Linked DNA regions of Drosophila melanogaster. The protein of the gene in region 1 interacts with the protein of each later gene in a pairwise test. Each region holds a gene or a part of one and is shown on either strand. Other genes may lie near its edges.

Region 1 (5,259 bases):
CTGCTCGTTAGTGACGTCCTCGAAGGGCCTCATCTCTCCTCCATCGTTCTGTCTCTTTCTCTGTCCGCTCTGGCTGCAATTTTCTCAAGAAGCCGCACTTAAATGGCTTCCTATGCGGGTGCAAACAAAAGCTGCAAACACACACACACACACATATGTCTACGCCTTTGAATGTGTGTGTCTGCTACAGTTACAAAAAAAAATGAAAAAAATAAGGCAAAAATCGCTGCTTGAAGTGGTGGTTGAATTTTGCACTTTTTTTTCTTATTTTTGTCTTGCAACGTGCAAATGGAAAAAGAGTTGCAAATTTTCTACTCCTGCTGTTCTGCGCAACACATGCGCCATTATGCAATTGATTTTTCTTCGTTTTTTTTACGAGTTTTCCAACGCTGTTGCATTGTTTGTACGCCGCTGACTTTTCTCCCCGGCTTTCTTGTGTTTTTACGTTTTTTGGTTCACTTGCCTGTCAAAGGTCATTCAACTTGGCTGCTACTAATTTGCCGCTGCCCCAGCAGGTGCGCCTAATTAAGCAGATCCCCTGCTAGCAACTAAAGCCCAAAAGTCGGCAACAAAGCGGCTAGCAAGCTCACTCACACATGTACAGAGGCAGGTGTCTAAAGTGACGCTTTATATGGCGAAAAATAAACTGGAAAAAACACGCACACAAACATGCGGAAGAATTGCACGTGCTCTATCTCCTCAGAGGTTGCATGCAACTTGGCTGGGGCTCATAACCCTGAATGCATGACTGCAATGAATGCAAACAGGCTGCAGAGACAGACGACTCACAGACGCACCCACACTCCAGATGAAGAGGACACTACGCCGGCCCAGCCATGCACCACCCACCCACCACCTTCCACTCAAGCTCTCCCTGCTTTTAAGACTTAACTGCAGCAGATTGCGTATACGCAGCATTGGCCACTTGCATTATGAGCACCTCCTACTCTCGTGTCAGCGTGATAAGCCACCGCATCTCGGCATCTACATTTCCATTTGCGACAGCTGCCCGCGTTTTGTGCGTTCTTACACTGCGTTCTAATTCCAAAGAAAAATGTTAGGAACTATTTGAATATTTTATAAGGAGAATATACAATGCACCATGTTACTAAAATTTCTATTTGTGGTCTACTAGGGTAAAAATTAAAAAATACTCTCATTAGGCAATTAATTGAGACTCTTTTTTCGAGTGTACCACCCTCTGCAGGACCGAAGGTCCCGCTGATCTCGGCTGCATTCATGGCGAATGTCAAGTGTTGGCAGTTGGCTTGCCAAGATGTTTTGTTTGACGCCGGAACAACGCCAGCAACATTTGCTGTGTCAAGTGGCAGTCAAGTGCATTTAACAGGGCGCGTCTTTGATTGACGTTAGCCCGCGTTCGGGAACTATGGCAAAGGGAGCAGGACGAAGGACGAGGACAATCGCCAAGGAATTTAGCTGCAGGCGACTGCGTGGCAATTGTCAAACGGAAACGCAGAAACAAAGACGACGTCAGCACAATCCGAATATCAAAGTCTGGCTTCCTTTAATGCTCAAGAGCTGTAACATTTCTGGTGCGTGTCAATCGCTTAATCCGGCCGAATGGGAATCGGATTGGGTTGCAACATCGGAGCCAGCAAATCAACTGGTTTGCTGCATATTTATGAATACGTCTGGTTAGCCTAATTATGTACGAAACGACAATGAAAGATGGGTCTGAAGTTGAGCATCTATTTTGTGTAAAGTTACAACACAGCACTTGGAAAATGCAGTTTCTCTTCTCCTTTAAAGACCACATATATATTACAAGCAATCAACGTACCATTATAAGGTAACTCCCTCACACTAAACAATGAATTTATATTTGAATTGTGTGCGTAAGGTGATCAACACCTATAAACACATTATGAGCAATCTGAAAGACATAAAAACTTCAAAATAACGCACCTATAAAAATAGATTAAACGGGCCTTATGCGAGTTTAATAGTTTGCAAATCATTTGCAAATCAGCAGACATATTTAAACACAAGCATAAAGTTATATAGTTATGCCTGCGTATTTGAGCCAAGATCCAACTTTTACTTTTCGCCGAGCTTCAAAACATAACTTGCTTCGCAGAAAGCGCAGACCGATGATGCGAGGCGAATTAAATTACATTAAACTTGGCCAAAGCGAACCGTACTGAAGTGGCTAAAAGCGGAAAGGCCGAAACCATTTTCACGGCCCTCAGCACTAAAAAAAAATGTGGTATATTTCCGTGGACTAGAAATTAGCATAAGCAACAAAACTATGAATAGGCAATTATTGTTGTTAACTCTATTACACATACATCTAAATTTAAGATTATAACTATTATTTAAAGTGGCAAGATATTTGGATGAAAGCCTTAAGCTTTTTTAGAACTGTCATAATTTTTCCGAGTGCGTGGTGAAATGCAGGTAGACAATGAAGAGCAGCCAGAGCAGCAGAGCTGGCACTTTAATTACGACAAAATTTGCGTGAGTGATAGTCAAATGATGCCGCAAGCATCATTCGAGTGTTGGAGCGGGGTAAAAAGGTAAAAAGGTAAACAAATAAGAAATAAACACCGCAGAGACAATAAATGGAAAAGAAATTATGAAATTATGTGTTCGAACTGTTACAACGAATCAGAGCCAGCTGGCAAAAGTGGCGGCAGTCGGAGCCATACTATACCGAGCTATGCCAAAACCCGTTTTCGGAGTGATCTTCTGGCGGGTTGGGTTGGCTTGGCGGGTGTCTGCCCTGCCGAAGTTCATTTAGTTGCCAGCCGGCGAAGAGTTCACAACGCGTCGAGTGTCCAACAAAAAAAGCGAGCAAGATGCCCTCCATATGGCTGTTAGTCTCGACGGTGGGTTAACTAGTGCTGCCGTTAAAAAAAGGATATACCTTTAAGCTGGATTAAATTCTTTACCCACAGCTGGCTTTGGTTAGCTGCCAGGACTATCATTACCACCGTCCACAGACTCCTTTCGTTGCGGAATCTTACCATCAGCACCAGCAGCCTCAAGCCACCAAGTTTGTGGTGCAGACTTTGGGTCGCACCTACGGTTTGGAAACCCAAAGGGCACCAGCCATCTATGAGGATTATCAGACGCATATTGTGCAGCTCTTCCAGCAGCGACAGGTGCCGCAGTATCATCAGGCTCCCCGCCAACAATTGCACACTTCTAGCTACCAGAATCCCCTGCTGGTCAGCGCCAACTACCAGGCCGGCACCGTGTCCTTGGCGCCTCCAGCTCCCGCTGCTCCTGCCCAGCCACTGACCAGCTATGGGCCACCTCACCTGCAGCACCAGTCACAGCCTCTGCAACCTCCACCGCAGACTCCCCAATACTTCCCCCAACAGCAGCAGCCACCTGCAAGCTATTTGCCACCTCAGCAGCCTGCCCAGAAATTGTTCTTCGGCAATCCGTTTCCCTATGCCCCTGTGACGACCGGCTCGGGGCAACAGGTGCTGGATGCAGGACATGGATCAGGTGTGGCGCCCAATGAAGTGCAGGCTCAGCTTTTGCAAGCCACCGGAGCTGCGCCACCACAAACTCGAGTGGGTAACCAGGTGGCTCAGTCGCAGAGCTCCTCTTTGGATGCCTATGACTACAAGCAGAGCACTCCCGGAGAAAACCGAGAGTACCAAAGGTTCGTCACCAGCTGCCCGGGAGGTGGAGCCTGCCAGCAGAAGGAGTTCAATCCAGGCGAGGTGGATGAGAGCCACCAGCGGGTTCTGCAGACAGTGCGAGCCAGTACCCAACCTCGAGTGGAGGGCTGCTACAAGAGCCAGGTGATCTATGTGCCAGCGGGAGCTGCTGTCAATAGTCAGGGTCAGTTGCGACCAAAGAATCGACGCACTTTCGAGCGCAAGGAGCAGGTCCTCTCCAGATACCCCTACAACTAAATGTCCTCTCTAATCTTACTCACCGAATTTCACATCGAATTAGTTGATATGCTTAGTTGTCAGTTTGTTGTTTGTTGTAAATAAATCGATCATTGTTTAAATTTTAAATCACGCATACTTACCGTTTCGGGTGATTAATTTAACAAGCCCAAAAGTAGGCATACAAGTCCATTCGATTCAGCAAATATGTTAATCGCATAACCTGTTGCATGTTGCTCAATCAGCTGGTGATGGTGATATTTTATTGTGGGATTGCATATGGTCGAGCCATGAAATGCTAATTAGCTAAATTGATTACACAGCGAGAAATGGGGTCGATGTACCTAACCACAGATGCAAATGTCTGGTCGTAAATGCAATTGGGAATATAGTATGACCAAAAAAAAACTATTAAAATAGATAAGAAAAGGGAGTTATGGGTTCGCAAAAATATTTTTGATACTAATTAAAATTTGATTGACATATATACATAGCTAATTACGCAGCTTATTATATGTATAGATAATATTTAAATGGTTCCAGATCAATAAAAACACTTTGTAATTAATCAATTTCTCATTACCAAACCACATTTAGTTTATGAAAATTGTATGACTTTAGTCATCGTTGGCTTGTTCAGTTACACAAATGTACTCCAAGGCAGCAAAATTGTTTGTGCTAGTTATATTTTTTGGAAATATAATGGAAGTAAGGATACAATAAAATTAAGCATCTTACATTATAAAGATGCAGTCATTTGTTTTTAACCCCAGAATGCCTCCAAGTTGGAGTTTACGAATTTTAAGTGTCATGTGAAGGACCCGACTTATTTGAGCTTCGAGTACTGTTTCATAAAATCCGTAAATCGAACCTATAAGTACATATCACTCAAGGCCAACATGTACGAAGTACCTATTACAAACGCATCGGTATGTATTAAAAAAAAATGGCTTAAAAATCCCACTCACTAAGCGTATATATTGATGTAGGCAAAACTTCAAATTTCGAGAAGATTTCGGTCCTATATGCCCATAACCATAGCCGCCAGCATAGATGTTTGCAAATATATGGCTTACAAGAAGAACTTGGCCAATCCGATGCTCAGACTTTTCGAGGAGATCACCAAAAAATACACAAATACCAACCATAAATGTCCCTATGATGTGGGTTAATGAGAACTTTTCAAATGATTATTTCTAGATGTTATACAATAACATTTTTACAGCACGACCTTATCATAGACAGACTTCCCTCCAAATATCTGAGTGAGCACTTTACCAACATCCTTCCACTCCCACCTGGGGATTACAGTTTTAACAGCATATGGTACAGCAGAAACATAGAACGGGCCACCATCTCCATATATTATACTGTATCATAATCAGAA
Region 2 (6,108 bases), on another chromosome or scaffold:
CCACTTCTTGAGGCACCACCCACCCCCATGCCATGCCGAAGAAACAACGAAGACCCAGTTCTCACACAAGCGATTTTAGGAGCATAAAAAAGATACAAAAATTTAATGGATTTTAGCACGCACACCAGCACACGCAGCCAACAGATACATGTACGTGCTCAGATACAGATACACATACAGATACTTATACGTATACACCCTCGCAGGTGGAGGGGTACTAAATTATATGGATTGCATGGAAATGGAGGCAGTGCTGCATGCTCGTACCACTAAGTAGAGTAATTGCATGTGGAGGATCCGTACTTAGCTAGTTGGCTGGATTCGAAAACAACTAACCGGACTTAAATCAGGGTGTTTTCAAAGGTTCCAACCCTTATATTTTTTTTTAGGGTTGACGTTTTACAGGGTGTTGACTGCCTTAAATGTTATTAGACCACTAATTAGTGCTATTAAAATTAATTACTCAGAAAACATTTATGTGGCTCATGTGAAGTAAGTTCGATTTTGCGGGCAGGAATATCTTTTAAAATCAGTTTTAGTTTTAGTTTCGGGTGTATTCCCGTGTATTAAGCTTTTTGTGATCTTCTGTTATGTATATGTTAGTGAATAAATTTGTATTCTTTTACATTTTTTTAAATTATCCTACAACCATAAAACAATTTTAAAGAAATTTTAAAAATGCGAAGTCCAACTTTAGGTCAGTTTAGTATAATTGCAAAACGTTTTATATAAATATTTTGTTAACAAATTATAAGCGTTTAAAACGGCAAGTTAGATTTGGATTTTTTCTCATGTATTTTTAAATCGACCAAAAGTATTTATCAGGTTTTTAAATCTACAGTGAAAGTACCGAAAATCACTTTTCTGCCATTCGGGAAATGTTGAATGAGCAATAATTTAATTTCCTTGGTAATCTGCCAAGTTTAATGCCAATCATGACATATCATTGATGTTACGTCGAATCGGATATGTCTAACCACTTTGGCGATCTCCTCTATTATCCTGTTTAATGGTAAATGTTTTTATTTTTCCACTTCAATATTACAGTTACTAAGCACGCATCTAAGGTTTCACTAGAAATCTGACAAAGTATTCAGTATTGTTTTTGATGATATTGAATATTTAAATTCCTAAAGAAATTCTTATATGATTTTTTGTTGAATGGAAAGGGATTTTTGCTCACATAATATAATAGTTTGATTGCCGTGAATGGCATGTAGTTGTAATACATTAAATTCTGTTATATCAAGTTAAAATAGGATTTCATTTTAAAATAGGAGTGTACTCTTCAGATTCATCAATACAATTAGGCGATTAAGCTGTCCAAACACGATTTATAAACATTTCGAAAGATTTATCTCTCTCTTCCAAGAAGTTACAACCATTGGAATCTCCTTTTACGTCAATGAAAACTTAAGTTCCTGGTTGCAGTAGGGAAAGTCCAGAAATGATCAAGCAAACATTAATTCTTAAATACTATTCACTTTTAGTATCCGGGAAATGTGTAAAAGGCGGACAATCAAAAACAAGTTCTAAAGGAAATAAGTAAATTTCAATTGGATATATGCATTTCCAATCCAGCTTAGTCACGGTAAAGCCTTAATTAATTTTCAAACATTGATTGGAAATCCACATATACAGATGGTTGTTTATTGGCCATAGAATTTTATTTGATATTGAAAACTATTTAGATTGAAAACGAAGTTAGCAAACTTTAGGTAGATCGCAGCCTTGACTTGATTTATGGGGCAGCCATAAAAGATCAAACTGAATGAAATGAAATGCCCCGTCCCGTGATGAGCCAATCCCAAGCAGGAAGATTTGGAAAATGTGACGAAAAATGCGACAGGCTTTCGCCCATGAGACATTCTTAATTGTGATTTTCGGTTTCGAATTTCTTACGAAAAGTGTGTGCGGACTTATCAGAGCTTTTCATCTGTACTTAATTTAATTTCATGGCTTCATTTCCATTCATAATTCCAGCCAATTTGTAGACGGGAATTTCCCGTCGGAAACTACGAAAGTCAGTCAGCTGAAATGGCTAGCTAATACGTATAAAGGGGAAATACTTATATACAGTCATATACTTATATATGGATATTAAAACCTCATGCGTATCTATCAAGCTGTGTAGATCGGATACAAATCTTTATAATGGCCTGACCTCTGGCCGAAATATACCAAATGTTAAGACTTCTTCTCGGTGCGTCGCCTGTGCGTTCTTGGCCTCTGCTTTTTCCCAGGGTCTCCACCCCCGCCGACTTCTCCGGCGTCTTGGTTTACTTTCCACTTGACCAATTTCGAGTCGCGTCCGAAGACGGTTCTTAAGTTATTCGCAGTCGACCATTTACATATTTACGTTTACGTTTACGTTTGCCGAGGGAAACGGAGAGAATCGAGAAGCGGATACGAATACAAGTGCAAGTGCTGCGGGGTCTGAAAACTGGGGCCACACCAAGGAAAATCTAAGCAAATTCCCAGATACTATATACTGTATAACCCCCATATATATATATTTATACATATATAACCGTGCTTTATAGTTGTAGCTTACTGCCACAGTGTGCATTCGACATCCCCGACGGTGTTTCTCGCTGTCGTGCCCGCCGCTAGTATCTTTGTATCTTAGTATCTTAGTATCTGTGATTGTGACTAAGTCTTGAAAAGTCGCAGTCATGGGCCCCCATATATATAAGTATATACATATTTATTGTATATATATATATATGTACGATCTAGAGAATTTCTTCACCACTACACGAGCGCCTTTTCCATTTTTCATTATGGTTATTATCTTGAAGATATGTATCTTCGCTTCGGTTGGATATAATTAAACAGCGAGAAAAAAATTTTAGCATGGGAAAAATGTAAATATTACTTGTAATTTGTTAGCAGATGATGTGGATGTTCGTGATCATATGAGGGTTCCATTTTTATACGGCAACGGCGATGTTCGTGGTAACGGTGACGGTGACGTTGATGTTGTTGCAGTTGCAGTTGTTGCTTCTGTTGTTGTAGTTGTTGCTGTTGTTTTTGCTGTTGCTGACGTCGGTGGTGGCAGGTTGAAATTGGTGTTGTTGTTGTTGTTGTTGGCTTTGCTTTAGCAGGGCCAGCAGCATTTTGCTTAATGTTGCATTATTCCGTTAGTTTTTCCCTTTGTCGGCGGTTCGGGTGGATTGGTGGGTGGTGGCGGTTGGTGGTTCGCTGGTGGTGATGGTGGTGCCACTACTACTGCTACTGATGTCTGCCGGGCCGAGCATTTTTGCCCAGTTACAGTTCCAACCATAAATTTATGTGCCACGGCATGTGTGAATTTGCGTCCATTTGTTGTCAGATTTTGTTTTGTTTGTGGCTCAGAGCCTAACCCACATTTTGGCCACAATTTCGCAATCACCGAGTGATGTAAATATATTTTTGAATCTCACTATTCACTGGTGATTATTTTGAAGATATTGAAAAATACACACTTCAAATTTGGATTTTCGATTGGCACTTGGTGTTGAAAAGATACTTTTCAACACCGGAACGATGTAAACTTTTTATTAAACAGATTGTGTCACTTTTTACATAGTTTTACCGGTATTGATCTACGTTCTTTAAAATCACTTGTTCATTAGTTTTTGGCCCTAAAGCGAGCTGTTTAAAGGTTGACTAACGAACGTATCCGTAGCCTAAAATCAAGGGCTTCGACATTTCACAAGATACAAACAGCGGATAGCGCTCTTGGGAAAATGAAAATTCACGGCACAACAGCAACTACTAAGCAAGTAACTAACTAACTAACTAACAAACTAACTAACTGGGCCTATGTACAGCGGGCCAGTTTGTATGTAGATATATATATATTTATGATTACAGCCCGGGGACGCAGATGGCGATGTCAATGGAGAGCCACCAGAGTCACTACCGAGTTCCGCCGATGCCAGGGCTTGAGTCAGAGTTAAAGGCGAACTGAAAGTCGGAGCCGCATGAACCACGCTGATGACGAACCGCAGGCCAACTGAACTCGACGACCGATCGACGCTCTCGCGAACTGGGGGAACTGTGAGCTGGCGGCTGGCAGCTGGGGAGCTGGGAGATTGTGAACCGAACTGAGGTGTCTCTGCCTTCAGAGCCCGTGCATAAGGCCAAAAAGCGAAAAGCCATAAGCTGAACCTTTCGCGCAGTCTTGAATCGAAACAGCCAGAGAGTGGCGGCAGCGGCAGCAGCAGCAGCTGTTCATCGATGCGGAACGAGCAAGTGGCTCTGGTCCGAGCCCAGGTGACTTGGCCCTGTCTCCCAGACTATGCCGTACCATAGACAAGTATACTTTACCCATAGCCTCCGAACCGAGAGCAGCGGCGAGTTCTTTTGAATCTAATGAAACACAGAGCTTGTTTAATATTCATTCGTTCGTTCGTTCGGTTCGTTTCGTTTTGTTTCGGACTCTCGCGATCTCTCGGTCTCACTTTCAGAAATGTAAAACCTGTTCCCCGAGATCCGTTTGTTGTGGGAGAGACAACTTTGCATTTGGTTTGTTTCAATTGGTGGAGGCCCCCAATGTCGTTGGGGTCCATATATACACAACCGTACGTCTGTATGTGCACATGCATATACTAGCGGATGGGGGGATAGCACCCATACACGGAAGCCAGCGTATGCAAATATCGTAATGTTCGGAACCTCTGGGAAAAGGGTGTTATTTGGATCAAATGGGGCACCGTCTTTCAGAAAGAGAGAGATTTTGCGAAAGATTCGCAAATGTTTAAATTGGCAATCTCTAAGCAAATGGAAAGCAACGAAAGTCATTAATCAAAAGGTGACTAAATGGGAATGAAAGGGATTTTCAGGCAGTTTGTAAAGAGTTTAAACTTACAAAACAATTTGTTAGTAGTAAGTCATACTATCTTGTTCACTATCAAATAGATTTTAACAGAATGTAAATCAAAAAGTAGCTCATAGATACAATATTCATAAATCTACACAAAAACTAATACATTCTCTGATCAGCAACTCAATAGTAACTATACCAACTCTCTTAACATTAAAACAAAGTTCTTATATATTTAATAAAATATATATCATGGAATAGATCACAGTTGAAAATGCTTATCTTAATACCATCTTACTGTCCATTAAGTATCCGCCCAGTGAGCCCAATGCCTTGAAAGCGGCTGTAATATTCAAATAGAGCCATATTTAATTTTTATTTCACTCTCCACCCACCAAAGTTTTTGGGGCCAAGCTGATTGGTATCCAACTGGAGATAAGCAGCCAAATTGCATATTGCAACAACTGCTGCCAGCGAACCGCACAGCCAAGCCCAAAAAATAAAAAAAATCAAAGGCACAAAAAAATCGAGATGAAGATGAGGAGGTAGAAAAGCGACGAACCTCCCAGAAGACGAGTCAAGTACGTTGGCAGGTAAAAGTGCATGCGGCCACGCGCAGGGCATTTAATAATAATAAACTCGTACTCGGATGGGGCTACCTCCATCCCCAAGCCCAGCCGGAGTTCATAATTAAGCGCCAGAATGCCGGGAAAGCCTTCGCTTCCTCTTGCCATAGATGCAAAATATTTGTTTATCACATCGCGATAATTGCCGCCGGCGATGCGAGGCCCAAGTCTTCGCGGATTCGTGGTCGTGGATTCGTCGATTTATGCATGTGCACAGGTGCGGGGCGGGGGATCGGGCAGCGGCCAAAAGGTTCCTCCGACCATCGGAGCATCGGTCAGACCAAAAGAAAGAAAATCCCAAAAGGGGGGGAGCAACTGCAGCGCAAGCGTGTGCCGATCGAGAAGGCTGGAGACTGGAGACTGAAGACTGGCGACCGAGCACTGAAGTCTGAAACCCCAAAGACCAAAGACTAAAGGCCGAGAGAACAGGAATGGGAAGCGGGGTAAAGATTGCGAATGAGGATCGGATCAAAGCGTGCCTCGGTGGTGGGTACAAGTTTATTGGCGTGGCGTATGTGCAAATAGCCGCTCCATCGACATCGACTGCTCCAAAAATGTGGGCGTGTGACACTTGAGCGGCTATCGCCAGCGAATCTCTGCCTAAATGCGGCAAAGAGGAGAAAAAAAAACAAATTATTGATAAGCAGATCGAACCGAGGCACTGCAAGAAAT

Evidence for each region. Proteins that work in one complex are often made in the same cells at the same time.
Region 2: the proteins of CG7080 (region 1) and Sox15 interact in a two-hybrid assay, tested with the Drosophila melanogaster proteins (one large-scale study listed by BioGRID).

Annotation. Positions count from the first base shown.
Region 1 is NT_033777.3:22,326,549-22,331,807, forward strand, and holds CG7080 (uncharacterized protein), read left to right. Parts: upstream 1-2,751; 5' UTR 2,752-2,819; coding exon 2,820-2,849; intron 2,850-2,918; coding exon 2,919-3,893; 3' UTR 3,894-3,998; downstream 3,999-5,259. Other genes in the region: CG33721 (uncharacterized protein), read left to right, coding at 4,521-4,580, 4,646-4,801, 4,862-5,035, 5,098-5,253.
Region 2 is NT_033778.4:14,208,410-14,214,517, forward strand, and holds the start of Sox15 (Sox box protein 15), read right to left. Parts: upstream 4,005-6,108; 5' UTR 2,932-4,004; coding exon 2,879-2,931; intron 1-2,878.